4 linked regions of the Stegostoma tigrinum genome follow. Each later gene encodes a partner of the first gene's protein in a complex. Links are inferred from orthologs where the notes say so. Each region holds a gene or a part of one and is shown in the gene's direction. Other genes may lie near its edges. The genes, in order: transcription factor Dp-2-like, e2f2, e2f6 and lin52.

Region 1 (7,468 bases):
TGGAGGTGTGGCTTGAGGTGGGAGGAGAGGATAGGTGAGAGGAAGCACAGGTTAGGGAGGCAGGGACGAGCTGGGCTGGTTTTGTGATGCAGCGGGGGGAGGGGACGAATTGGGCTGGTTTTGGGATGCAGTGGGGAGGGGGAGATTTTGAAGCTTGTGAAGTCCACATTGATACCATTGGGCTGCAGGGTTCCAAAGCACTTCACCAACCCCTTCCACCCCGACCTCAAGTTCACCTGGGCCATCTCCAACACATCCCTCACCTTCCTGGACCTCTCAGTCTCCATCTCAGGTAACCAGCTAGAAACTAATGTTCACTTCAATCCCACTGACTCCCACAGCTACCTAGAATACACCTCCTCCCACCCACCCACCCTCCTGCAAAAATTCCATCCCCTATTCCCAATTCCTCCGCCTCCGCCGCATCTGCTCCCAGGATGAGGCATTCCACTCCCAAACATCCCAGATGTCCGCGTTCTTCAAGGACCGTAACTTCCCACCGGCAGTGGTCGAGAACGCCCTTCATCGTGTCTCCTGCATTTCCCGCAACACATCCCTCACACCACGCCCCCGCCACAACTGGCCCCAAAGGATCCCCCTCGTTCTCACATACCACCCCACCAACCTCCGGATACAACGTATCATCGTCCAACACTTCCACCGTTTACAATCCGACCCCACCACCCAAGACATTTTTCCATCCCCACCCTTGTCTGCCTTCCGGAGAGACCACTCTCTCCGTGACTCCCTTGTTCGCTCCACACTCCCCTCCAACCCCACCACACACGGCACCTTCCCCTGCAACCGCAGGAAGTGCTACACTTCCCCCACACCTCCTCCCTCACCCCCATCCCAGGCCCCAAGATGACTTTCCATATTAAGCAGATGTTCACCTGCACATCTGTCAATGTAGTATATTGTATCCACTGTACCCGGTGTGGCTTTCTCTACATTGGGGAAACCAAGCGGAGGCTTGGGGATTGATTTGCAGAACACCTCCGCTCAGTTCGCAATAAACAACTGCACCTCCCAGTCGCGAACCATTTTACCTCCCCCTCCCATTCCTTAGACGACATGTCCATCCTGGGCCTCCTGCAGTACCACAATGATGCCACCCGAAGGTTGCAGTAACAGCAACTCATATTCCGCTTGGGAACCCTGCAGCCCAATGGTATCAATGTGGGTTTCACAAGCTTCAAAATCTCCCCTCCCCCCACTGCATCCCAAAACCGTCCCCGCCTCCTTAACCCGTTCTTCCTCTCACCCATCCCTTCCTCCCACCCCAAGCTGCACCTCCATTTCCTACCTACTAACCTCATCCCACCTCCTTGACCTGTCCGTCTTCCCTGGACTGACCTATCCCCTCCCTACCTCCCCACCTATAATCTCCTCTTCACCTATCTTCTTTTCTCTCCATCTTCGGTCCGCCTCCCCCTCTCTCCCTATTTATTCCGGAACCCTCACCCCATCCCCCTCTCTGATGAAGGGTCTATGCCCGAAACGTCAGCTTTTGTGCTCCTGAGATGCTGCTGGGCCTGCTGTGTTCATCCAGCTCCACACTTTGTTATCTCTTATAAGATAGCTATTTACCTGTTTTCACTGAAGCCAAAGCAGAAAACAAACAGAGGGCCGGGCCAAATGGTCTATGTTCTGGGTTATAGTTTAAGGCAGTTACCAGGGGCACGTTTCAATTCTGTTGTTCAATGTGCTTCTTTTTTCCCCATTAATTGCTCAAACAATTCTATGCCAGGATTTTGTTGCTGTACCAATGCTCATAATTAGTTATCATTAGTTTTCTGAAAAATATTCTTCCCTTTTGGCCAACAGTGCTCCATCATTTTCTGTCCTAAGTGTCGTCCTCTCTCTTTTCTCTGTCCTACTTGTCGTGACACATTATAAATTCAAATTCCATGGCAGACTGTGGAATTTGAATTCAATAAATATCTGGAATTAATAATCTAATGATGACCGTGAATCCGTTGTCAGTTGTTGGAAATACCCATCTGATTCACTAATGTCCTTCAGTGAAGGAAACTGCCATCCTTACCTGGTCTGACCTACATGTGACTCCAGACGCACAGCAATGTGGTTGACTCTGAACTGCCCTCTGGGCAATTAGGGATGGGCAATAAATGCTGCCTGGCCAGTGATGCCCTCATCTCGTGAATGAGTAAAGGAAAAAAAACTCAGTCGTAATCATTACAAATACCTTAGTTATATCACAGCTATGTCCGTGCCATTGTCCAAGTGTTACTGGGCACAACTTGTACATCATCAGGTCCATTTCTGGATGATCTCCCTGAGCAGTTCCAAATCCCTGTGACTTTTCTTAGAATCCTGTGACTGTTGCCACTTAGCTGGTGGATCTTCAATAGCAGAATCCTGCAGATGTTGGAGATTGGAAATTAAAACAAAATAATGGAGCGTTTCCAAGATAACGAAGTGTGGAGCTGGATGAACACAGCAGGCCAAGCAGCATCTTAGGATCTCGGATTCTCCGGCATCTGCAGTTCCCATTATCAATGGAGAATTTCCAAATTGCTTTGAGAAGTGAGAGTTAACGCTTTTAGTCCAAGGGCACGCTTTCTGATTTTATGCCTGTGGTTCTTGAAGCTGATTCTGTGCCACCCTGACCCCAAAAATTCCTGGCTCAGCTTTAATCTCCACCTCATCTTTACTGCTTGGAGGTGTACAATGTCCCCATACGGGTGGCAGATGCCCCTGCCCCAAGGCTAAGCCCCTCCGAGGGTGGGAGCAGTGTGGAATCTGTCTTGTGGGTAGGGTTACCCCTGTGGTGGTGGGGGGGGGGGGTTCAGGCTGTTCTTGTGTTCACTTGGCCCTTCCCCATCCGACAGCAGTGACCCTGACCCAAACCCGTCCCTCCTGTTGTCCACCCCCTTCTCCGCCACGACCCTGAGCCCTACGCCCATCTCCGGCCACCCTCTCCTAGCCCTTACCTTTCCCACCTTCTGCTCCCCACTCCCGTAGCCCTATCCCGTTCCCCCACCCCTCCCCCCAACTACGCCTCACCCCCTGCCCCCACTCCACTCCCGCACTCCACACTACACTGACCCACCCCCACTCGCCCTCCCCCTACTCCACTCCATCCCCACTCCACGCCACAAGTCCACTCCGCCCCCTCACCTGCACTTGCCCCCTACTCCGCACCACCCTTACTCCGCACCCCCTCCCCTCCCAAGTACTCCACTCCCCCCAACTCTGCACACACCCTCCACCTCTCCGCATCCCCACCTCTTACTCTGTTCCCCACCACTTCACACTACTCCGACCCACCCGCTACTCTGCCCCTCCACTCCCCGACCCATATCCCGCCCCCCTACTACCCCTCCCTCCCACCAAACTCTTCTGCAACTCCTCCACTATCCCCTTCCCCCATACTCCGCCCCTCTCCCCCACTCTGTCCCGCTACACCTCCCCCGCCACTCCGCACCCCTCCACTCCTACCCCTCCCCCAACTCCATTCCTCACTCTGCCCCCATCCCCATCCCACCCACTTTGCACCCACCATCCCCCACTCTGCCTCCCCAACCCCCCAACTCTACTCCCTCTCCTGCCTTCGCTCTGCACCCCCTCCCCACTCTGCCCCTCACCCGCCTTCTCCACCCCCTTCCCCCTCTATTCTGCCCCCCCACTCCACTCCCCCATCCCCTCTATTCTGTACCCCCACTCCACCCCTGTCCCCTCTATTCTACCCCCCCACTCCACCCCCGTCCCCTCTATTCTGTCCTCCCCCACTCCACCCCCGTCCCCTCTATTCTGCCCCCCCACTCCACCCCCCCATCCCCTCTATTCTGTCCCCCTACTCGACCCCCCATCCCCTCTATTCTGCCCCCCCACTCCACCCCCCATCCCCTCTATTCTGCCCCCACACTCCACCCCCATCCCCTCTATTCTGCCCCCCCACTCCACCCCCCATCCCCTCTATTCTGTCCCCACACTCCACCCCCCCATCCCCTCTATTCTGCCCCCCCACTCCACCCCCCATCCCCTCTATTCTGTCCCCACACTCCACCCCCCCATCCCCTCTATTCTGCCCCCACACTCCACCCCCCCATCCCCTCTATTCTGCCCCCCCCACCCTACTCTGCCCCCCCCACCCTACTCTGCCCCCCCCACCCTACTCTGCCCCCCCCACCCTACTCTGCCCCCCCACCCTACTCTCCCCCCCCCACCCTACTCTCCCCCCCCCCACCCTACTCTCCCCCCCCCACCCTACTCTCCCCCCCCACCCTACTCTCCCCCACCCCCAATCCCCCCATTCCTCCCCTCCTCCGTCCCCCATTCCACTCCTCCCCCACCTCCACCCCTCCTCCTCCTCCCTCCCCCACCCCTCTCCAATCCGCCCGCCGGGTGTTATTTGGTGCTGATTATTTGTCCGTTCTCTCTCTCCCCCCCCCCCCCCCCCCGAATTAGACCATGAGGCCGCTGTCAGGAAGATAACTTTCTCCGCTGTTCGAGGCGGGACTTCGATGTGTTCATCTGTTTGGTTCAGCCCACCCACCGGAGCAAGGAAGGCCGTGAGTGCGTGAGACAGGAGTGGGAGAGTGTGTGCTGTGAGTGAGACAGGAGTGGGAGAGTGTGAGCTGTGAGTGAGTGTGAGCTGTGAGTGAGACAGGAGTGGGAGGCTGTGAGTGAGTGAGTGTGAGCTGTGAGTGAGACAGGAGTGGGAGAGTGTGAGCTGTGAGTGAGACAGGAGTGGGAGAGTGTGAGCTCTGAGTGAGTGTGAGCTCTGAGTGAGACAGGAGTGGGAGGCTGTGAGTGAGTGAGTGTGAGCTGTGAGTGAGACAGGAGTCTGAACTGTGAGTGTGAGACAGGAGTGAGAGAGTGTGTGCAGTGAGTGAGAGAGGAATGAGTTAGTGTGAGCTGTGAGTGTGAGACAGGAGTGTGTGAGTGAGAGGAGTGAGTGAGTGTGAGTTGTGAGTGTGAGACAGAAGTCAGTGAGAGAGAGGAGTATGTGAGTGAGAGGAGTGAGTGTGAGCTGTGAGAGGGGAGTGAGCTGTGAGAGAGGACTGAGTGAGACAGGAGTGAGTGAGTGAGTGTGAGCTGTGAATGAGAGGAGTGAGTGGAAGAGGAGTGTGGGGGGTGAGTGAGTGTGAGCTGTGACTGCAGAGAGTGAGGTGTGAGTGTGGTGTTTGCTCAGAGTTTGAGGGAGAGAGCAGGCCCTCTGACAGACTGTGACAACTGGCTGCAGCTGCTTGCTTCTGGGACACTTTGTTGGAGCGGGCACCAAGGATGGTGAGTGGCGAAAGCACTTTAATTTTACGTTTTTTCCTCTTTAATTTTTATTAGAACAAAGCTGTGGCCACTCCGTCTCTGCAGGGCGCTGCCCTGGAATAAATAAAGAAGATTATCAATCCCTGTTTCATTTACCTGATTCCTGGGATGGCAGGACCCTTCGTCTACGGTGTGACATTGGATTCTGTTAGGAATATATTCACTGTGGTTTAGAGAAATGACAGGGGATCTTATAGAAACCTGTAAAATTCTGACAAGACTAGACAGGGTGAATTCAGGAAGGATGTTCCCCACAAGCAGGGAGCCCAGACTCAGAGATCACAGTCTAAGGATCTGGGGTTAGAATAGTTACGATCAAGGTGAGGAGAAATTTCTTCATCCAGAGAGTGGTGAGCCTGTGGAATTCTCTGCCTCAGAAGGTGGTTCGGGCCAAAATGTTGAATGTTTTTAAAAAGGAGTTAGATATAGAGCTTGTGGTGAAAGGGAGCAAAGGGACTGAGTTGGAGGGCCAGCCATTATCATATTGAACAGCAGAGTGGATTCAGAGGACTGAATGGCCTGCGCCTGATCCTATTTTCTGTACTTCTGTCTTTTGCTACATTGCCTCCTGGTACATTATTTGAGCTGCATCTTGCTGCTACTCTCCACGTTCAATGCACATTCAGTCGTTTGAGGCATCAGTACTGCATTTGCAAAGCCTCACTCTCATGCTACTTTTCATGGTTCAGTCACCAAACCTGCAGTTCAACTTTTTTTTAAAATTAGGAAATCCTTTTCACTGCATAAACAAAATGCTTCAGATGTTAGAACTGTGAAATGGAAACAAAATGAGGAAATGCTCTAGCGGCATCTGTGCAGAGAGAGAAGCTTGTCGACATTTTTCATCAGAATTTTTTTTGCAGTTTGGCTGATAGTAGAGCAAGATTGTCTTGACATTAGTAACAACAATAATTGTGGCAATGATATTTCAAACTTTCCCTTTGGTATTTCAGGACAAGAGCAATAGCTGAATGAAGTCGGCAAAATTAGGCCAGGCACTTTTACTTTTTTCCTACAACAAAGTTGCTGAAACCCTAACCCTCCTGTCCTCTTTCTACCTGTAGAGGATATTAGATTAGATTAGATTAGATTCCCTACATTGTGGAAACAGGCCCTTCGGCCCAACAAGTCCACATCGCCCCTTGGAGCATCCCACCCAGACCCATCCCCCTATAACCCACACACCCCTGAACACTACGGGCAATTTAGCATGGTAGGGGAAGAATGGTAGACGGTGATCCAAAGGGTAGACTTAGGCACGAGAGAGTCTTCTGAAAGGTTGAGAAAGGTGCATTGAGGTGAAAGACTTCAGTAGCGGGTTCCTGAATACAGTGCATAGATGGCTGAAGGCCCTGTCTTTGACTGTGGTACATGCAGTGGAGGCTAGAATTAAAATCAGAGTCTGTGCTGATAGGAACTTTCCCAAAACAAGTGGACGATGTTGCTAGTTTATTTAACAATTGAGGAAAATGATTTTAAATGCAATGCATGGGGATGAGGAGAAAATGTAGCATGTAAAGGCAGGAGTGATTGGTATTGGAAACTAGTCCCATTACTCCATGGATCACAGCATAACATACAAGCCAGTTTTCCTGTTACTAAGATGACTGAATATTTCAGGTCTATTAAGTTTTCAAACAGAAGATCTATCAACAAGGCTTTTTAATAAATAGTTATTGATTTGTCATTAAAAAGTATTTAATAAAGATGCAATAATTTGCTGACATAATCAGTGATAAATAAATACATATGTTTGTCCCTCTATATACCTCAGAACTCTCACTGACCCTCTCTCGCACGCATGCACTCCATCTCTCCAACAACACCAGCCCCCCAACCCTGCCTCTGTTCAGGGGGAAAAGAGAAAACAAAACACAGAGATTAACTTTCTAAAACAAAAGGCTAGATGTTTATTATTGGAGGTGTAAGGATAAAGCTCACAATGACCCAGAGGGGTCATGTCTTTTTGTGGCTAGTTGATGTTCATGTATCCTGGTGGCTAGCTTTCTGCCTGTTTGTCCAATTTAGTGTTTGTCACAGTTCTTGCAAGGTATTTTGTAGATGACGTTCACTACATTGGACAAACAGGCAGAAAGCTAGCCACCAGGATACATGAACATCAACTAGCCACAAAAAGACATGACCCACTATCACTAGTATCCTTACATACAGA
Region 2 (7,240 bases), on another chromosome or scaffold:
TAATTTAAATATAAAAGGTTTTGTCACAAATGCAGTTGGCAACATTTTTTAGTGGATCATTAAACTTGTTATTATCCGTCTATGTTTCCAGAGGCTTGGTAAAAAGATAAAAAAATTATGTTACCAGGACAACACTGCTCCCACTAGGGAGGATTTGCGTTTGTTCAAAAAATTGTCAAAGTACTTTAATTAGTCACTTTGTTATGTAGTTATTAATCTTATGCAGCCACTTTTGCAGACAGCAAGATTCCAAACAATAACGAAATGAACGATGCTTTAGTTTTTTTTAATGTAGAACTTTACCATGTAGATGCAGACCATGCAACCAACCTATGCCAATGTTTAGACTCCACATGAGATTCTACCTCATCCATTATCCATGTGTTGTTATACAGCTTTCTCCCTTATCTAGTTCCACTTTAATGCATCAGGGCAGTTTGTCACAATTACTTCACCTGGTACTCCATATTCTCTCAGAGTAAAGTAGTTACTCCCGAATTCCAGAGGGCAGGTAGCAGTCAACCACATTGCTGTGGGTCTGGAGTCACATAGAGTCCAGACTAGGTAAGGATGGCAGTTTCCTTCCCTAAAGGAAGGACATTAGAGAGCCTGATGGGTTTTTTTTTTCCTGGCAATCAACAATGTTTCATGGTTATCATTAGACTCTTAATTCTAGATTTTTGTTGAATTCAAATTCCGCCATCAACAATGGCGAGATTCAAGTCTAGCTCCCCAAAATATTGCTTCGGTCTCTGAATTAACAGTCTAGCATTAATACCACCTCCCCATATAGGATGCATACATTTATAATTATCCCACCAAACCCTACTTCTAATTTTAAAGACTTCTATCAGGTCAATCTTCAGCTGTCTGCTTACTCTGGTAAAATAAGCCCAACTTTTTCTTGTAATTATGTGAACAGAGTTCTTAAGTCAGCCTTGGAAATAATTTTTCCGCATTCTCTGGTGACTTCAGAGCCTTTTCATAATACCGGTACACACTCCCAAATTTAGCAACCTTGGGACTCAATCTGTGCCAGTCTTTGGAACATGGCAGTCTTCAGAGAGATGATAAACTGGAATTCACTAGTTCAGATTGGAACACTTTAATATGGTAAGTACAGCCTGAAGGGAAACCAACTGATATGACTGCCAAGCACTAAGTTAATATCATGTGCCTGGTGATATTAATTCACCTCTCATGCATCGGATTTAATATCTCTTTCATGCTTTCCCGCTTCGCTATGTCAGTACAACTGGTTAAATTGAGAAAAAAAATCAATTTTAAAAAAAGCCTGCACTTCAGAAAATGCTGGTTTTGGGGTAGCTAGATTTGGAGTGTTTACCTATAAAGGTCAGAACTATGCACAGTACTCCAACAGAGGTCTAATCTAAGTTGTACACAAGTTTAAAATAACACAATATCTTTCCAATCAATTCTATCCCTCTAGAAATTAATCTCAGTGCTCTGGCCTCATTAACCTGCATTGTTATTTTTAGTGATGTGTGCATCTATATCCCTAGAGCTCCTTGCTCCTCTCATTTTGACTCTAATTTTACCCGTTTATTAATGTTCACTACCTCACACTTACCTATACTTAAACAAATCAGTTCTCTTCTGACCTGCTTCATTCACCCTGTATTCCCACCACAGGCAGATGGATGAACTAAGCGCATGGTTTTGGAAATGGCTGTAATCTCAGGAAACTCCACCTCACAACAATTTCTTCACCAAGCCATGTGCAGATTCTGTTCTGCCAGTATGATGTGTGACATACTGATGGAGGAAGTATTTCTCTGCTCCCTAGTTACTTAAAAAAGTTCAGCGTTTTTTTTAATGATTCTGGGCAAAGTGATTCACTTCCTTTGGTACTCATCTCTTCATTAGAGACAAATGAATTGCACTTAGACTGCACTTACCGAGTGGAGTGAAACTGGAAAAAATTTGTGGCTGGGGACGGGTAGCAGGTGTCGAGAAATAGATATTTTTACAACCATTTCTGCAATGTTTGAGTGACAGTGACCTCTGAGACCTCACGCTGTAATGGATGGGCAAAAGTAAGTTTCCTCATGCTTCCAAACAGTTAAAACATGATTGTTAACATTACTCTGATTATTATGAAGTTAGTTTTGAGGTCCAGTTTCCTTTCCATTTTCCCTGCTTTCTCTCTCTCTCACACTTAGTTTGCCACTCTCTCTGTCTCTCCTGTTCTCTCGAGTCCTTTTGTTCATCTGTTTCTACTCACTTATTCCTCTCCTCTTTGTTCATGGTTTCCTCCCAATGTGAAAAGGTGTTTTCTTTCTTCAGTTTCCAACACCAAGGCACAATTGCAGTTTGTTCCTACATCAACAGCCTTCTATTGCTTGAACTCTTCCTGAATCCGACAAAGACTTGGGTTGGGGTTCCCCCTGGGACACCGCTGATCTCGGCTGCAATGGCTTTGGGAAAGTTACAATTGGCCACAATTCCTCTGGGTTAAGGCAAAGGTAAATCAGCCAGCTCCCTGTCGCTGCTCATTATCCAAACACCATGTCATTGAAAGTGCTTTTGTGTGTTGACACTGCATGCTGAAAGGGTGCAAGATTAGCAATAGCAGTTTGCATTTTTTTGAAAAAAATGACCTTGCATTCATATAGCGCCTTTCCCAACCTCAGGACACCATGCAATATCTAATGGCCAAATTTTCGATAAAATAGAATCACATCAGTTTGAGGAGGTAGCTCGCCACTACCTTTTTCAGGGCAATTAACAATGGACAATGAATGTTGGCCTAGCCAGCGGTGCCCACATCACAGGGTCGAATAAAGAAGAATGCAGTAGCCAACCTGTGCATAACAAGATCCCACAATGTGGTCAAAACCAGATATTCTACATTATAATGATGTTTGTTGAGGATGGAGTACTGATCAGGACCCTGGGATGATCTCCCCTGTTCCTCCTTAAGACAATGATGAACAGTCCTTGACAGGAAAGAGGCTGAATCAATTGAACATTGCATTCAAAAGGAAGCACCTTGAACAGTGCAGGACTCCTACAGTTCCCCAGTGGGAATAATGGTCTGGATTACACACTCAAGTCTCCAGATGAGTTTTTAACTCTCAGTCTTGTGTGGTTAGATAACTCACTGCTGTGTCACTTAAACAGCAAACTGCATTTTGGGAGTGGATCATAGAATCCGACAATCACACAGCACAGAAACGGCTTTCGGTCCAACTTGCCATGCTGAACACATATCCTAAATTAAGCCAGTCCCAAATGCTAGCATTGTGCTCATATCCCTCTAAACCTTTCCTATTCACATACCCATCCAGATGCCTTTCAAATGTTGGAATTGTACCAGCCTCCATCACTTCCTCTCACAGCACATTCCTCCCACAGTCATTCATGCATCACCCTCTGCACGAACAAGTTGCCCCTTGGGTCCATTTTAAATCTTTCCCTCTCACCTTAAACCTATGTCCTCTCATTTCGGGCTCCCCTACCCTGGGGAAAAAAGGTCCTTGGCCAGTCACCCTATCCATGCCCCTCATTATTTTATAAACCTCCATAAGGTCATTCCCTCAGCCTCCGCCCCTTCAGGGAAAATAGCCCTGCCTATTCAACCTCTCCCTATAACTGAAACCTTCCAAGCCTCGCAACATCCTTATAACTCTTATCTTCACCCTTTCAAGTTTAACAACATCTTTCTTATAGCAGGGAGACCAGAATTTGAATGTAGTATTCCAAAAGTGCCCCAACAATACCCTTTACAACTGCAACATGACTTCCCAACTCCTATACTCAATGCTCTGATCCAATAAAGACAGGTGTAACAACGGTCTTCTGCACGACCAGGCAGAGAAAGAGAACATCATGCCAAATAATGTAGGTGGCAATGCAGCTTAATAAAGGCAATGTAATGCAAGGAAAAGAAATATAAATTGTTTTCATGAAACCATCATTAATTGTGTCTTTACACAGACTCACTCTCTCACGGCTGCGAAGTATTAAAACAGTCAGGATGCTGTGCAAGCCTCAGCTGGAGTCAGGCTTTTTAAAAAGTCTGTGCTACTCCTGTCGCTTTAAGAAACCAGTTTGAGCGCTGTGATTGGCTACCGTTGCATGTATCCTGGTCAGTTAACCACCAATCAGCGACGGGTATTTGCAACAGATGGCGGGAAATATGAATTTCGCGGCACAGGCTTTGGCGCCAGAGGCTGAGTTTCAGAGTCTGTGAATTAGGCTGCATTCAGGAGCTAGTACAGTTTCTGCAGCCATTTTTCCCCTCTGAATCAGAGGGGACCTTTTACAATCCATTGCATCCTGCTGCATCCAAAGCAACGTTAGCTGTGAGACCCCGTGCAGTTTAATCTCGGGACTCTGCTAATCATTTATATGCCTGCATTTGTTGACTCTGTCTTTTATTTTGTGTTCAAATCCCGGTTTGAAGTTAACCATTTTGTTTTGCCCCTCTCTCTCTCTCTCGTTGCAAACAAAAGGGGGAGAGTGGGGGAAAGATTGCAGCCTTGCCAAAAATGCCAAAGGGAGTTTCCCCAGCCCCAGGCAGGGGAATTATTGGGGCAGTGACTGGTTCCCAGAAAAAGCTAATCAATGTGGAAAATGGGAATACCGGGCTATGTAGCCCCCAGATCCCCACCATCCCTGCCAGTTATTTCACCCAAATTGCAGGAGCAGTATATTCTGATCACAGTGATTGCCTGTATGCAACCCCTCAAGGACCTGAAGTTAGAACAATAAGGACTAGCACAGGGCGCCTGCCGGTAAGTGTAATTTTATAATTTATACATTCATTTTGAAATAATCGCGCGTTTATACTTGGTGTATTTTGCTCAGTTCCTGCAGTTATCAGGACACTGCATTAATAATCATTCAGGGAAATTTACTTAGCTCTTAGTAACATGTTTTACAAAAATGCAGCATTGATAAATTAACCCTACTTTTGTGTATGCGTTTGTGGGATGGGGGTGGGGGTGGGGGGCATGTGGAGTGTGAAGACAGGTTTCGCTTTTTGCTGTGTAACTGGATCTATTGTGATAGAGAAAATGCTCAGATGGCTGTTTACTGTAACTCTAGGCTGCCTTAATTTTTTCATTTATTTCAGGACGATTTAAAAGTTTCTCAAGCCTCCCGATTTATCATCAAAACACGTTGACAATTTTCTTAGGTGATCAAACTGTCACTGAAATTTTGCTGGGCTTGCCTTGGGTTGGCTCTAAAGTTGAGGACATTCTCAATATAATATCTTTTCAATCAAGAGGTGTCAACTTTTTGGAGGGTGCTTCCTTGTATGAAATTCAAATGAAAATGAAAGTAACCAGCCTTTGGCACTTTATTGGCACCAAGCCTTTAACCTCAATATTTTTACTGGAGGGTGGGGAAGGATGTTTAATGCCAATTCTATAGTGTAGGCAGCTTGGGGTTCAAAGGTAAAAATGGAACTGACAGTAGAATCCCCAGCAGAAAAATGTAAAAAATGAAAATGTAATGATTTCAAACTGCAGGGAAATGTTGCTGCTGAACTTTCTTTTTGACCCTCTTCTTTGTGGGAATAGGGCTGTTTCAATTTTTAAATATTGATCTTCTGTGGCTTAATACTTAGATCTAATCTTGTCTCTGTATAGCACCCACCCCTCCCCTCTTGAATTTATTCAAAAGCCCCACTCGGCATCTTTTGAGAATGAGGCAATATTAACGCAAGACAATGCTCACCTGTGGCACCTTGTTTATTACTGACCTCATCGAAGTTTCTTCTCATGGACCAGGGAGCTTGTAAAGCACAGATGATGTTACAGTACCCAAAAACACAGTTTTTAAATACTTACTTTGGTCGTGGCCTACTTTTTTGTGGGGGATGGGGAAGGAGTTTCTTATTGACTGAACTGTTTTTCCGAGGACGGACTCTAGTAGCAGAAGTTTAGTTTTCCAGTATGCAGGGGAATTAATTTACAAGGTGTATTTGTCATCTCTTGCATGCTGTATAAACATTGCTCTTTTGATTCATTGCTCTTGCTCCTTTTGGGCTGGAGTTCTTGTTCAGCTGCTCGCTCCATTGCCTCTGACAGAGAGAGCAGGGAATGCCATTTAGTCCTCTGATTCTTATCTTTGCCCCAAATATTTATTTATACACCAAAGATATCAACAATTGGGAGTCTTTGAGGACACGCTGGAGCTTTCAGAAAGCTAGGCAGGGGTATTTAATTGGAGGCAAAAATTCAGTTTCTTGATAGGTTAAGGTTTTGCAATCAATTTCTGAGGAACTTTCAGATGGGTAAGGTTTCCTAATCCTCATTGAGCACCATTTCTGTACTCATTAGCATGTCATGTTTGTTGTTAACCCACTGGAATTGCATTAATAGGCCCAATCCCATTATCCAAAATGGCAAGATCATGTACTTGCAGATATTCTTGTGTATTCACAGAAAAGCACACAAGCCAGTGCCAGCCAGCGTAGACTGTGCCCTCCGTACTCTGGACAGTATGTATAAACTTCACCAACTTGATTCCCTTTTAATCAAGCTGTTACTTTGCTCAAATGTTTAACGGGTGAAGCCTGACCTGCTCATTCAACTCACTATAAGTCTGCCATATGCAATCTGCCACCTTTTTGTAGTTAAACACTTGAGAAGGGTGAAGCATCTCCATGTTCAGTGGCTCAAGAGAAGTCTTGGCCTTGTGCAGTCTGTTAAGTGTTAACAAGTCAATGTTAGGGTTGAACACTGGACCATCCATCAAGCCTGCCCACACATGGCAGCCAGATTGCCTGATGCCAGCAAACCTGATTGGGGCGGTCAAATGAAGCTTGACTCCCTGGGGCCAGCTTTTGTGCTTGTACCCTTGTTCCATACAAGCCATTGCTGAAAACAATCAGATGTGCATGTTATCAAGTTGTGATGGAAGGTCAGTGAGCTGATGGTGTGTGAGCTGCTGAGTGTTGTAACTCCTTCACTATTTTGCATATGAACCCTCCCAGTTGTGTGGGAGCCAGTAGTACTACGGTATGCAATGCTGCCTTGGTAGCTGGCATTAAGTGACAGACATTGATGGCCCGTGAGGCATCCAGTGGAGTTGCTTGGTTGCCAACCCTCGTATTGCTATCCTCTGTAGAGGCAACCTTACGGTGCTAACTCTCACTCAGAGGGATGTCAAGTGGTACGTACTGAGGTAGAAGGCAGAAGTTATTTAGTCTTCTGGCACTGGAGCTGGGTTCTCTTGAGCTGCCCATAGGCACTGTCTTCATAGC
Region 3 (7,246 bases), on another chromosome or scaffold:
CGCCTCCCCCTCTCTCCCTATTTATTCCAGTTCCCTCTCCCCATCCCCCTCTCTGGCGAAGGGTCTAGGCCCGAAATGTCAGCTTTTGTGCTCCTAAGATGCTGCTTGGCCTGCTGTGTTCATCCAGCTCCACACTTTGTTATCTCGGGTTCCCCAGCATCTGCAGTTCCCATTATCTCTGAATCTAATAGAGCCTGGTTTGTTGTTGCCAAACAGAAAGACTAGTAGGTCATTCAACAACTTGGATCAGTTTCAGAATTCCGTTCACCTGACTTGACTCCATATCATTTTATACTGTTGTCTGGTAAAAACCCATTATCTCCAATTTAACTATTAATAAAGGATCAAATACCACATTTCTAACACCCTACCAGGTAGAAATGCTTTCTAATTTCTCTTGCGAATACCCAGCTCCAATTTTGGGATTATGTCCTTACCCACCAAGGGGAATGATTCTCTGTGTCTATGTCCTTCATTCATTCCAAAATCATTAAAATATGAATGCACTCACTGCCTTGACCTAATATATTCTTGGGAATACAAGTCTAGTCTATCTAAGCATCCTTCATAATTTAACCCTTGGAGCCCTGACAAGACACTGCTGAATCTGCACAATTCTGTGTCCTCTAATTGTTAAGCCTTCAGTCATTAGAAAAAGTTTCCCCATTATTAACTCTTTGTAAAGTCTTCATTTTAAACGTCTTTCTGAAGCTAAATTCTTTCCGAGGTATGACGTTAAGAATTGTACATGGTACTCCAGATGTGGTCCAACCAAGGCTTTGCAGAGATACAGTTCAACTTTTGCTCTTTTATATCCTACAGCTCTAGCTTTAAAATATAACATTTGAATTTTTTTGTCCTTGCTGACCCTAATTTATTGATGTGTGTATATAGGTCTCTTTGGACCTCCACTGTTCCTAGTTAATCATCACTTTAGCAATATTCAGATCCATTATTTTCAGTTGGTTTAAGATGGAAGCCCTTGCCCTTGCTTGTGCTGAAATCCAAAACATCAATATTTATTTTCCTGAGTTTCCTGGTCTCTAATTCCTTGTCCACAGTAAAAACTGATGATAAATACTTGTTTCGTATCTCTTCCATCTCCTGTGGTTCCATGCATAGACAACCTTGTTGATCTTAAAGGGGCCCTTTTCTCTCCCTTGTTGTTCTTTTGCTGTGAATTTATTTGCAGAATCTCTTTGGACTATCTTCAGCCTTATCTGTCAAGGCTATCTCATATTCCCTTAATGCCCTCCTAATTTTCCTCTTAAGAATGCCCCTACAACCCTTACACTGTTCTAGAGATTCACTTGATCTCAATTGTCTATATCTAATATATGACGCCTTCCTAAACATGACTTGAGCCAAATATCTTTAATCATCCATGGTTCCATACTCTTACCATCCTAACTCTTCACTCTGAAAGGAACATAATGCCCCTGAAATAACAAGGTGTAGAGATGGATGAACACAGCAAGCCAAGCAGTATCAGAGGAGCAGGAAGGCTGACGTTTCGGCCATAGACCCTTCTCTTATTATCTCAGATTCTCCCAGCATCTGCAGTTCCTACTATCTCTGAAACAATAATGCCTCTGAATTCTTGTTATCTCACTTTTGAAAGCCTCCCATTTGTCAGTCATCCCTTTACCTGTGAACAGTCTACTCGAATCAATTCTTGAAAATTCCTGTCTCATACCATCAAAATTTGCTTTATTCCAATTAATAACTTTAATTTTTATAAAAGGCCAATCCTTTTCCATAACTATTTGAAAACAATTAAAACTGTGATCACTGGTCCCAAAGTACTCCCCTAGTAACACTTCAGTCACTTGCTCTGCCTTATTTCCCAACAGAAGGTCATGTTTTGCTCCTTCTCTAGTAGGTACATACACATCAATAAAGAAAATTTTCTTCAATACATGTAACAAATCCCTCATCATCTAAGTCCTAACAGTGAATACACTCCACCCCTTAATTATTGCATACCTTATTACTGCTTCATTTCTATTCTGACCCTCTGCTCTTGGGATGGCATCCTCTTCTACAGTGCCTAGTTTAGGACATTCCTGCCAGCAATGTTCACTTTAGCCTCACAGTGTCAACTACATTTTCTCTGAGATAATGGGAACTGCAGATGCTGGAGAATCCAAGATAATAAAGTGTGAAGCTGGATGAACACAGCAGGCCAAGCAGCTTCTCAGGAGCACAAAAGCTGACGTTTTGGGCCTCGACCCTTCATCAGAGAGGGGGATGGGGAGAGGGATCTGGAATAAATAGGGAGAGAGGGGGAGGCGGACCGAAGATGGAGAGAAAAGAAGATAGGTGGAGTGGAGAGTATAGGTGGGGAGGTAGGGAGGGGATAGGTGAGTCCAGGGAAGACGGACAGGTCAAGGAAGTGGGATGAGGTTAGTAGGTAGGAAATGGAGGTGCGGCGTGGGGTGGGAGGAAGGGATGGGTGAGAGGAAGAACAGGTTAGGGAGGCAGAGACAGGCTGGGCTGGTTTTGGGATGCAGTGGGGGGAGAGGTCTAGGCCCGAAACGTCAGCTTTTGTGGTCCTGAGATGCTGCTTGGCCTGCTGTGTTCGTCCAGCTTCACACTTTATTATCTTACATTTTATCTGTTGTGCAAGACTTCCTCTTCTTCTATCTAAACTAGGTTCACCTTACTCTACTGGCTGGCACTTTTCTGAGACGTGGCTACACTCTATGGAAAACTAGCCAGAACCTCCCTTCCTCTCTTGTCAGAATTTCTGCTGGAGTCTCTCAATACAGATGTGACAGAGGAATCCCACTGCCCACAAATTCCCACATATCAGTCCTGACACGTGGCCATGTCAAGCTTTTATTTACTTGCTAGTAATAATTTAGTTCTAGATAGAATTGCTTGACTTCGATTGTAGAAAAGATTAATTCAGCTTGATTTCAAGTCATTTTTGTTTTTATTGATTTCTTTTTTTTTGTTTTCTAACAATTTATTATTTATTATTTAAGGAGACGAGATTTTAAATATGCAATTCGGATCTCTAAATTTAAAATGCTTAATTAGTTGCAGATTGGCCCCCTCTGAGCTGACTGCAATGTAAAGTTAGCGCTCCCTGAAGATCACTGCCAGTATAACAGCTCCAAGAGCAACTTTTTCTGCTGTAATAAAACGAGAGAACAGCAGAGAGCAGTAACGTCGAAACATTTAAACAGGTTTAAACAGGCTAAAAATGTGTTATTTTATTCAGAAATACCCATCCTTTTACACGTGTTACAAAATTATTATGATCATTCGGAATTGTCAATTCAACAAAGTGTGAATTAGAGCAATAAAAATCAGAGCTAATGAAAATACAGGTGGGAATGGAGTTTAAGTCCTAGACTTTGGTGTGTATTTTCTAATGGTCCTATTATGCATCATATTGAATATAAGCTCTATATTTAGTGCAGTTGAAGTGTTGAAGTAATGATAATTTTAATAAGAGAATGAAAAATGCCAAAAGTAATTTTAAGAAAAGACTATGTTTCAATGTATTATCAGAGTTGATGAAAATATAGATGGGAGCAGAGTTTAAATCCTAGACTTTGATGTGCACTTTTCTAAGGGTCCTTTTATGCATTCCTATTAATTAAATTAGAGCCAGCATTTAGAGCAGCTGAAGTGTAATAATAATGATAATTTTAAGAAGAGAATGAAAAATGCCAAAAGCAGTTTTGAGAAAAGACTATGTTTCACTGTGTTAACCAGGCTGCACTGCAACGTCTATTCACAGGCGCGATCCGACTACTGATGGGCACGGGGGTTTTGACCTGCTCCGTTTCCGACCTGGGCCGATTCACCCCTCTTTACCCGACCTGGTGAACCCGGATTCCTCCAGGGACACCATATCGATGCCCAACTTAGTGAGGACACCTGATCGGCATAGTCCGCAGCAGCCCAGAACTCCTGGTCTCAAGCAATCCGATAGCCTCAGCCTCCGAGTCGCCGGATTACAGGCGCACGCCACCGCGCCCGGCGAATACTGCTGCTGCTCAAAAGATACTTCAACCCAACGTCACAAAGCCTTGTGTGTGATGTAGGCACGTCATTCATCTGTGGAGGCGGTGCCACGGCCAAGGGCCCGCGTTCTACTCATCCATATTCATAGAGGAGGCGGGTTTTGTAGGTCGGGCGGGAAAGGCGAGCAAAGCTGGCAGCTATCGGCTGGCGCATGCGTCGGAATGCCGCCGGTGGGCGGGTTGGCGCATGCGCCGGGATGCCTTTTGGGCCTGCGTGGCAGCGTGTTGTTGTGTGTGGCGGGGGAATAGCAGGAGAGGAGCAGGGAGGCGACGGGTGGGAAGCGAGGCGGTTTCGTCTCAGAGCAGTTCCGTGTAGGATTGGCAGTACCAGGGGTGGGGGAAGGGGGTGAGACAGTAACAAACATCAGCGCCACCCCCCTAGCCCCCAGCAATGGAGGACGAGAGCAGCTCCCGGGTAACCTCAGCGCCCAGATCCAGTGAGTCTGACTGAGCCCTGGCACCAGGCTCTCATCTGTCTGTTTAACTGTCTTTGTCTATCTCCAAGTTCCCCCCGTCTCTCTCTCTCTCTGACACACACGCACACCCTCCTGTCCCCTCTGTGTTTACATGTAACACTCCCAGTCCTTCCACAGCATCAAGATGGCACTGCTTCTTCCTAGGGCCTCGATCAGCTTCATTAGAGATCATCCGGACAACCTTTTCTGTTTCTTCCCACCCCCACGCGAAAAAGTATCCACCCTTGCCAAACTAAATAAATCCAAATCGTGTTTTTTTTAAAGAAAGACGGATCCACGTGCACGTGTGCAGGACACTGTTTACCAATGTTTACTCCACCGTGTATTCGAATCTGGGCCAGACTAGGTTCCATTGAAATTCATTACAAAGGGAATTAAACGGAAGTCAGGGTATGGGCTAAAGGAATGTATGAATAAATAACACATTTTGTTTGGACGTTTGTCTTCTGCAATGTATTGGGCCTGGACTTGGGACTACACTTCGAAGTTATACTAAGAACAATTACCTCTAGTAATTGTGATTTACTTGAGGCTTAGTTTTAATTCGACTCAGGTCTTTACGATGTTTTAAAAATTTGCTAGGTTGTCAAAATGTAATGTATTCCACTTAACTTAATTGTCAGGAATTTTATGCCTGAATTTATTTCATTTGCATGCATGCAAATTATTTTCTAGAATGCACACTAAACAAATTACAATGCCTGCTGCTAACTTTATATGTCATTTCCAGCACTGTTTAATGGCCTATCAGAAACACATTTAGCACAATACAATATACTTTTGGCAGTAGATGAGAAAGGATGTCCTAAATGTTAAGTTGTAACAAACTGTTGAAATGATCATTTACACTTTCATTGTTTAGTCCAAGCGATGGTTTTTATGTTGATTCCTGTCCAAACCACACATTCATTTCCTGACCCAGTACCAGTGCAGGTGTCCCATGAAAATGGAATACATTCTACCGTGTCAATGCAGATTGTTTTATTTTAGAAGACCAAAATACGAAAGGACTTAAAGCTGTCATCACAAGTACATATATGGCCCCAGGAAGCCGCTGTGAAGTGATAGATTCCCACACCCTTTAATTACCTGTTCACCAACTCAATCTGCTCATTTGTTTCTAATCTATTAGGCTAATTTTGCATGTGGTTCATGTGTTAGGTTAGATTATTGCCTTCACAACAATGTTTTATTTTAGCATATAGTTCCTGGTACTTACTCGCAGAACAAAGTTCTGAAATCCGTTCACTGCACTGATTCTAATAGCTTGTGCATTTCTGGTTTCAGTCACATTACTTTTGACTACGTAAACCTGTAATTTTGTGGCATAACCTTTCAACCTTAGTGCCTCTGTCCTCTTAAAATGCTCCATAAAACCTGTTTCTCTGACCAAGCTTCTAGTTAACTGCCCTAATATTTCCTTAAGTGACTCATCAAATTTGCTTTAACTACATACATTTGACACTCTTTGGGACATTTTGCTTTGCTAAAATTTAGGGTTAGGAAATAAATGAAAATTGCAAATTGTTATACTGTCTGCCAAAGTGTAAAATTACTAAAATAAACATGTATAAAACAAACATCTTAGTTCCACAATATTAACATGCGATTTCTAAATGGCATTTTTGGAGTAGGTTTTATGAGAATTGACAATACAATTCTCTATTTTTCTATTAGTCATACATCCATTACACATTTCAGTTGCATTTTTATCAAATTTTATTTCAATAATACCAGCATTTCTGTTTTTAAGATTGAAAGTTAATGTTGTTTTCCTGTTTTGTAACAGCAAAAAAGCCACGTTTTGATGTGTCCCTAGTGCATCTAACGCAACAGTTTATGGAACTTGTGAAGGAGGCACCTGATGGCGTCCTTGACATGAATGATATTGCAAAGATGCTTGGGGTGCGAAAGCGAAGGGTTTACGATATCACCAATGTACTTGATGGGATTCGTCTTGTGAGAAAAAAATCAAAAAATTTAATTGAATGGATGTAAGTCATTTTTACACTTCCTGTAAATTGATTTATTTTATAAAATTCACTGGTATTCATTCAGGCATATCTCTACATGATTTTGTGTTCATTATAAAGGTGGGCTCAAGAGCATGATATGTGATTCTCAAAATAATTTTCGATGAAAATTGAATTTATTTTTACTTTGACGTGAATGCAGCTTTCAAGTGGAATCCCATAGTTATCAGTGAAATTGTATTGTAAATATTTTTGCATGCTCTGAATCCAGATTTGAATTCAGGCTAGGCTGGTGAGATGCAAGTTTCATTTTCTGTCCTGTACCCACTGCTGCTGAAGTCCACAAAAATGTAATTTGGGCCATCCATTAGAATTCTTAATTTGTATGTCTGCAATACAGATTACTAAAGTATTGCCTTTTTACTTTAAAATAATTCTTATTTTCCAGTCCAGTCCCTCCACAGCCTGGTTCCTTGTTACCTCTGTGACCACCTACACTGCCCAGCCATCCAAAGATGTCTGTACTCCTCTAGTTCTGTCCTCTCAAATTTAGTTGCTCTGTCATTAGACAAGCTTTCAGCTGCTTATAATAACAAAATGAAATATTCACAAAACATGTTTGCAGCTCGAAGGTTGAATTGCAGTGCAACTGCATCGAAATAGTCATATAATGACTATGTAATCAGGTTAATAATGTAATAATCGTATGACAACAAAAGTAAAGAGACAGATTTCAGCAAACAACAGGAATGTATTA
Region 4 (7,635 bases), on another chromosome or scaffold:
TCAGGAGCACAAAAGCTGACATTTCGGGCCTAGACCCTTCATCAGAGAGGGGGATGGGGTGAGGGTTCTGGAATAAATAGGGAGAGAGGGGGAGGCGGACCGAAGATGGAGAGAAAAGAAGATAGGTGGAGAGGAGAGTATATGTGGGGAGGTAGGGAGGGGATAGGTCAGTCCAGGGAAGACGGACAGGTCAAGGAGGTGGGATAAGGTTAGTAGGTAAGAGTTGGAGGTGCAGCTTGGGAAGGGATGGGTGAGAGGAAGAACAGCTTAGGGAGGCAGAGACAGGTTGGACTGGTTTTGGGATGCAGTGGGTGGAGGGGAAGAGCTGGGCTGGTTTTGGGATACGGTGGGGGAAGAGGGGATTTTGAAGCTGGTGAAGTCAACATTGATACCATTAGGCTGCAGGGTTCCCAGGCGGAATATGAGTTGCTGTTCCTGCAACCTTCGGGTGGCATCATTGTGTCACTGCAGGAGGCCCATGATGGACATGTCATCTAAAGAATGGGAGGGGGAGTGGAAATCTTTTGCGACTGGGAGGTGCAGTTGTTTATTGCGAACTGAGCAGAGGTGTTCTGCAAAGCGTCCCCAAACCTCCGCTTGGTTTCCCCAACGTAGAGGTAACCACACTGGGTACAGTGGATGCAGTATACCACATTGGCAGATGTGCAGGTGAACCTCTGCTTAATGTGGAAAGTCATCTTGGGGCCTGGGATAGGGGTGAGGGAGGTGGTGTGGGGGCAAGTGTAGCATTTCCTGCGGTTGCAGGGGAAGGTGCCGGGTGTGGTGGGGTTGGAGGGCAGTGTGGAGCGAACGAGGGAGTCACGGAGAGAGTGGTCTCTCTGGAAAGCAGAGAGGGGTGGGGATGGAAAAACGTCTTGGGTGGTGGGGTCGGATTGTAGATGGCGGAAGTGTCGGAGGAACCGCAGGAAATGCTACACTTGCCCCCACAACTCCTCCCTCACCCCTATCCCAGGCCCCAAGATGACCTTCCGCATTAAGCAGAGGTTCACCTGCACATCTGCCAATGTGGTATACTGCATCCACTGTACCCGGTGTGGCTTCCTCTACATTGGGGAAACCAAGCGGAGGCTTGGGGACCGCTTTGCAGAACACCTCCGCTCAGTTCGCAATAAACAACTGCACCTCCCAGTCGCAAACCATTTCCACTCCCCCTCCCATTCTTTAGATGACATGTCCATCCTGGACCTCCTGCAGTGCCACAATGACGCCACCCGAAGGTTGCAGGAACAGCAACTCATATTCCGCTTGGGAACCCTGCAGCCCAATGGTATCAATGTGGACTTCACCAGCTTCAAAATCCCCCCTTCCCCCACTGCATCCCAAAACCAGCCCAGTTCGTCCCCTCCCCCCACTGCACCACACAACCAGTCCAGCTCTTCCCCTCCACCCACTGCATCCCAAAACCAGTCCAACCTGTCTCTGCCTCCCTAAGCTGTTCTTCCTCTCACCCATCCCTTCCTCCCACCCCAAGCCGCAGCTCCATCTCCTACCTACTAACCTCATCCCACCTCCTTGACCTGTCCGTCTTCCCTGGACTGACCTATCCCCTCCCTACCTCCCCACCTATACTCTCCTCTCCATCTTCGGTCCACCTCCCCCCCCTCTCCCTATTTATTCCAGAGCCCTCACCCCATCCCCCTCTCTGATGAAGGGTCTAGGCCCGAAATGTCAGCTTTTGTGCTCCTGAGATGCTGCTGGGCCTGCTGTGTTCATTCAGCCTCACATTTCATTATCTTGGATTCTCCAGCATCTGCAGTTCCCATTATCACCAATAAGGAACAGCAGCAGGCCATTTAGTCCCTCAAGCCTGCTCATATAAAAAATGCACACACAACGCATGCAGGCACACACACGTTTGTCTATCAAGGATCAATCTGCATCAGCCTTCAAACGTTCATCAAACGCTGACCCTTCCAGCAATTTTACATCCCATGAAAGGGGAAAGAGAAAAGGAATAGTTACTCATAAATCCAACTGGTTCAGGAAAATGTCTTTGCCCATAACATGTGGAATTGATGATGTGAAGAGCTTTGATACATTTAAAGGGAGGCTAATAACTGGATGAGGGAGAAAGGAATAGAAAGATTTGGAACAGAATTAAATCAAGGAGGCAGACAGGAATACAGACCACATGAGATGAGCAGACATTTCCATGCTGCGTAATTGTTTGAAAGCAACAGCAAAATGCTTTAGCAACTAAATATATTTTCAGTGTTCAGATCTTTGACCTAACTTAAAAGGTATTGTAAGGGTGATTGAGATAACATCATTTAAAGCAAGCATAGGACAAATCAGGCACAAGTCTGAAAGTCAAGCAAGGTTAAAGACTACAAAAGCTGGACAATAAAGATTTGGAGGCAAGCCCTGAAGTGGAGAACTGATAATGAAGTCAATTGACACCGCTGTCAAGAAGGCAGATCAATGAAATACGATTACAGAAACATCAGTGCCATTTCAGCTCCAAGTCATCTGTACAGGAATTTGTTGGGTAGTGTCCTAGCCACATTCTTTGGCCCTCCACTGACAGTTTGCATCATTTAGAGGATTCACTGCAGAAATTCACCCCAAGACTCCTTTGACAGCACCTTCCAAAGCCAATAACCCAACCACATGTAAGGACATGAGCAAAAGACTATGGAAATTCCAACATTTCTAAGTTCCCAAGTCACCAACAAGGCAGCTCACTACCACATTTGAGGGCAACTACGGATGGTCAATAAATGTTGGCCCAACCAATGACACTCACATCCAGTGAAAGCCTATCAGACATTTTGACAGAGGACAAATAAAGAGTGCGATAATACAGTTGGAAATTGAAACTGAAGGTTTCCACAACTGATGAGAAAAAACACAAGATGCCAATGTGGAAAGGTGTAAATGACTGGTCCTTAAAATGATTACTATTACATACAATTAACAAAACCTGACAAATTAAAAAAAAATCCATCCCATCTCAAAAAAAACTTTGATTAAGCCTTCTCACTTACAATATTTGAAGATGTGTGATTCCTGAACTATCCCACAGAGAATGTAATAAGTGAGAAAAAAAACAAAACAATGCTGTAGGGCAGAAAACTAAGGACAACCCTTTCCAGCACGTTTGAACCAATAACAAGGGAGCTCTGGAAACCACCCACTAAAGCTGACCCACAGGCTTCTAAATGCTGAGTAAAGATATCAACTAGCATTGAAGAGAGAAAAAAGGCTGATTGAGTATAGATTTCAGCATCTGCAGTAATTTACTCCTACTATATGAAAAGGCATTGTCTGCTTTTCTCTCAGACAACCCTAATGCAAACCACGAGAGAAGAAAGTCATTCAAGTGTACTGGTGGGCACTGATCAACTGAATTAGGAAACTAGTTAGCTTTGACATCTTACAATCCTCAGACGAGTTACATCAGTAAACAAAAAAACTTCAGTACGCAATGTTACAATCAATGTTCTATGAAAGAAAAATGTAAAGGTCCGAAAGTCAGGGCATTGAAGAGGAGATGGCCGGAACTGCAGATGCTGGAAAATCTGAGATAACAAGTTGTAAAGCTGGATTAACACAGCAGGTCAAACAGCACAGGAGCAGGAAAGCTGACGTTTCGGGTCTAGACCCTTCAGAAAAGATTTGTGTGTTCATCCAGCTCTACACCCTGTTATCTCATTGAAGAGGAATCCCCGGACTCTGAACGTTAACTCTCCTTTCTTCTCACAGATGCTGCCAGACCCACTGAGTTTCTCCAAAAATTCTGCTTTTTAAGTCAGATCATTAACGCTTTATATCGGGGAGGCAACGAATGAATGCAGCCTTACTGCGTTTAATATTCTGAAGTTTAACGAAGTCAACAGCACAATAACAAAGTCGTCACGAGAAAGTGAGGCATGTACGGTTGCCAAGTGTCTACAACGCGTTTAAAAGCTCAATCCACGTAAATAATTTCATCCCTTGCAAGAAGGCAAAGGAGGGAATACATGGGTGGCATCGAACAGATGCAAAAAAATGCAGAAAACGACAATACAGCGTGAAATAAAACGACAACTGCAAAATATATAAATAGAACAAGTTGGCTTTTCACCACGTGGAAAGGACGAGGAGACGATAAGGGACTGGGAATACAAACTGCTGGACACTAACGTGCGCCCGTTAGCGAAATGAAGACAAGGCGCATAAGATTTTCGGGACTTCTTCGCCTCTCGGGTTAAAATAAAAACGGTCGCGAGAAGCGATCTCGACGGGTATGGAATTAAGACATTCTGCACAGCAACACACAAGCTCTGTTTTGTTGCGCGTCTTCCACCGCCCCCACACGAATCACACCGTGATTCCTGTCGGTTTACCTTTCGCCTGAAAGTGACCCTGAGGGCTGCTGCCATTACGAAGCCGAAAACGGACCCAAACACACCTCTCCCGCTCCGTTGCCCTCACCTATCGCCTGCCCAATAACCACTCACTTCGGAGGGCGGAGACCGCGACTGAAACCGTAAGACCCCACGCAGTCCGCAACCCTAACGTCAATTGGCGCGACGCCAGACCACGTGACACGCCAAACCCTCCCGATCCCCATCGGCCAATGCGGACGTCAGTCAGATAACGCGCCCCGCCCTCCCACCCAATAATCACGCGAGATTCCCGACGGTTAACGGTCGCGGCGCTAAATTTTTGCCCGCAGTTCGTTTTAATTAAGTCTACACCCCCTAAATGGCGCTTTTGAAATCGGAAACGACTATTCTGTTCGAAAGGATATAATTCGCTAGTGTTTGTTCTGTCCTGGGGACGGGCTGCAAGTGGGTCATGTGACGGTTCGGGAAGATGGCGTCGCCGAGTGGGTCATGTGACGGTCTGGGGAAGATGGCGTCGCCGAGTGCGGGTAAATTCTAATTTGCTTGTGTGACAGAGAGAGTGCTTCTAGGCACGGGGCACTCGACTTTGCTATTTGGCTGCTTCATCCTCTCAGAACCGGGACAATTCGAACAGAAAAGAAAAATTATGGTCTTTTATTTACGCTGTAATGGTTTTTCTTCGGCAGTATCTGTGGGAAGAAAGCAGAGTTAACGTTTCAAGTCAGGGAGAGTTTTCTTCCCACAGACCTGCGCTGTTTCTCCAGCGTTTCCTTAATTTTCTTTCTGATCTCCAGCGTGCGCAGCTGTTTGTTTTCTTTTAATTATTCTCTTTCCTCCTTTTAAGATTTTGGCGGGTGGCCACCGCAATCCTGCTTACCCTGAGTTGCATCTACCGGCCGAGATGTTTAGGTGAGAGATTGGAAAGTTGGAATAGCTCCATAGGGGCTAGTATCCTGTCACTCAGTCACCCTTTAAATTATTTAGGTGAGGAAAGTCCTTGACACTAACTCAGAGCCAGCTCTCTGAACAGGATGTCAAACACTTCTGTTTTATCTGTCAACCAGGGATCCCTCTTTGGAACAGATTAACATCCCTAGTCAGGGAATTCATATTCTTTGAGGTCCAACTGGCTGACTTTGTTACAATCATTACATCTCTCTCCCTCTGAGTCTGAGAATATAGGCTGGTGTGTTTCTTTTATTGTAGCTCACCAGCTCAGATTTCTCCAATTCTGCCTTGAATATGGGTGGTATGTAATGCACGGTTGCACGCCACTTGTGCCCAGTTTGACTTGGAAGAAATTCATTCTCTTGAGGTGACTGTGGTGTCAATGTGATCACATCTGCTGCATCCATCTCAGATTCTACAATATCTTCAACGCTTGATGGAGAGGGTGAACCCTTATGTTCTGGAACAATCGGAAAGGCAGTCAAGGAACTGGACATGTTTTGCTCCTGCACTGTTTGCAAGTTTGCAGCTTTAATTTGGTCCATGTGCTTGTTGAGGCCCATCATACCTACCTGAACTGTATACGCCACTGGACCTGAACACTGGTAGACTGTGCCTTTTAGGACCATTCCTTTATCGACTAAAGTAAATTGTCTTTCTCACTTAGTACGGTCTTGAGTCCGGCATTGGCATTTTTGATGCTGTTTCACCCTCTTTCCCCTAGATCTGTGAAGATAAGATTTAAACAGAGTCGTCTTCCCATATGCAACTCTGCTGGAACTATCCCTGTGATTACATGATGGGTGGACCTATAATCAAATAGGAATTGGGATAGTTTGGTATCGAGTGATGCTGTGGTTGTTTCTTTCAGTCTGCCTTCAAAATTTGCACAGCTGTTTATGGCACGTCATTTGATGGATGGTATGGAGCTGTCCTTGTATGAAAAATACCAGTTGACTTTTGGGAAATATCCAAGTTGCCTACTGGAAAATGATGGCTTGTTATCTGTGACCAATACTTCCAGCAGTCTGTGTCTTTCTACCATCATCCGCATGTTTGACAAATGAACTTTGTGGTCATGCAGCCACTTTGAGTGGGTGTCCACAACAGCTAAGAATGTCAAACCCATGAAAGAACCTGCATAGTTGACGTGTAACTAATTCCAGGGTTTACCAGGGCCTTCCCACGAATGTGGGGGTGCTATTAATGGTAATTTTCATCTTTGTTGGCACACTCTGCACTTGCCCACCAATGCAGCCACGTCTGCATGCAATCTTGGCCAAAAGATGCTACTTTCCAATAAAAACCAAAAGAATTACAGATGCTAGAAATCAGAAACAAAAACAGAAATTGCTTTAAAAGCTCAGCATGTTTGAAGAGATATCAAAGTTAATGTTTCAGGTCCAGTGACACTTCTTCAGAACAATGTTACTTCTTGCTAACATCTTCTCTTTGGAATACCCAGTGGAGTTCAGCTGGTGTCTGGCGGTGGCCTTTGCTTTGGACAATCACACTTACTCCCCAAATAATATGTTGTCAGCTACTGTGATCTGGTCTCCCTCGGTCCAAAAATGTTTCAGATTTGGTTGTGATGGCCCTTTGGCTTCCCCCATCACTATCAGCTGTTTCAGTTTTGTCGGGACTGGATATTTGAGTCAAAGTCTAATATTGTCAACTGTGAATGCAAGTGTGTCCAGAAAATTTGAAAACATGTGGACTCTTCTGATGGTACCAGTGTGGTGTATCTGCCAGTGGAGGCAGCTCAATGCACTGGCATTTGCTACTTGGCCTCCAGGAAAGTGTTCCAACTTGAAATTATATGCATTTAGTATTAGAGGTTGCTGCTGAATTTGGCTTGAAGTTATGGGTGGCACTGCCTTGTCCTGTTTAAGTAGACCAAGCAGAAGCTTGTCTGTTATGATTACAAATTTACCTACATAATCGTAGTTTCAAATCTTCCCATGTTCCATGACCAACCGACCCTCTCATCCCTGCCTCCTTGACCTAACAAACCTGTCCATCTTCTCTCTTACCTATCCACTTGTCCCAGCTCACTGACCATTCCCCTCCACTGCCAACCTGTACTCGCCTATCACCGTCCCACCCACCTTCCCCAGCCCCATCCTTCCCCTCTCTATTTATTTCAGAGCTCCCTTCCCCCTCCCCCATTTCTGAAGAAGGGCTCCGACCGGAAACGTCAACTTTCCTGCTTAAATGCTGCCTGGCCTGTTGTGTTCCTAGCTCCTCACTGTGTTATTTCTATGATATCCAACTGGTTAAACTTATTACAATTAGTACAGGACTGGGTAAAACTAGATTTAAATTTAGGTTTAAT

Evidence for each region.
Region 2: transcription factor Dp-2-like (region 1) and e2f2 share a complex: the UniProt entries of both Homo sapiens proteins name them as parts of the DRTF1/E2F transcription factor complex. The link is inferred for Stegostoma tigrinum from reciprocal best matches to the Homo sapiens genes TFDP2 and E2F2.
Region 3: transcription factor Dp-2-like (region 1) and e2f6 share a complex: the UniProt entries of both Homo sapiens proteins name them as parts of the DRTF1/E2F transcription factor complex. The link is inferred for Stegostoma tigrinum from reciprocal best matches to the Homo sapiens genes TFDP2 and E2F6.
Region 4: transcription factor Dp-2-like (region 1) and lin52 share a complex: the UniProt entries of both Homo sapiens proteins name them as parts of the DREAM complex. The link is inferred for Stegostoma tigrinum from reciprocal best matches to the Homo sapiens genes TFDP2 and LIN52.

Annotation. Positions count from the first base shown.
Region 1 is NC_081367.1:73,714,592-73,722,059, forward strand, and holds the start of transcription factor Dp-2-like, read left to right. Parts: upstream 1-4,454; 5' UTR 4,455-5,256; intron 5,257-7,468. UniProt on the Homo sapiens protein: Can stimulate E2F-dependent transcription.
Region 2 is NC_081377.1:29,050,825-29,058,064, reverse strand, and holds the start of e2f2 (transcription factor E2F2), read left to right. Parts: upstream 1-4,226; 5' UTR 4,227-4,514; coding exon 4,515-4,760; intron 4,761-7,240. UniProt on the Homo sapiens protein: Transcription activator that binds DNA cooperatively with DP proteins through the E2 recognition site, 5'-TTTC[CG]CGC-3' found in the promoter region of a number of genes whose products are involved in cell cycle regulation or in DNA replication.
Region 3 is NC_081357.1:114,882,835-114,890,080, forward strand, and holds the start of e2f6 (transcription factor E2F6), read left to right. Parts: upstream 1-4,242; 5' UTR 4,243-4,431; coding exon 4,432-4,477; intron 4,478-6,305; coding exon 6,306-6,510; intron 6,511-7,246. UniProt on the Homo sapiens protein: Inhibitor of E2F-dependent transcription. Binds DNA cooperatively with DP proteins through the E2 recognition site, 5'-TTTC[CG]CGC-3'. Has a preference for the 5'-TTTCCCGC-3' E2F recognition site.
Region 4 is NC_081363.1:14,613,519-14,621,153, forward strand, and holds the start of lin52 (protein lin-52 homolog), read left to right. Parts: upstream 1-4,627; 5' UTR 4,628-4,821; coding exon 4,822-4,879; intron 4,880-7,635. Other genes in the region: aldh6a1 (methylmalonate-semialdehyde dehydrogenase [acylating], mitochondrial), read right to left, coding at 4,350-4,385.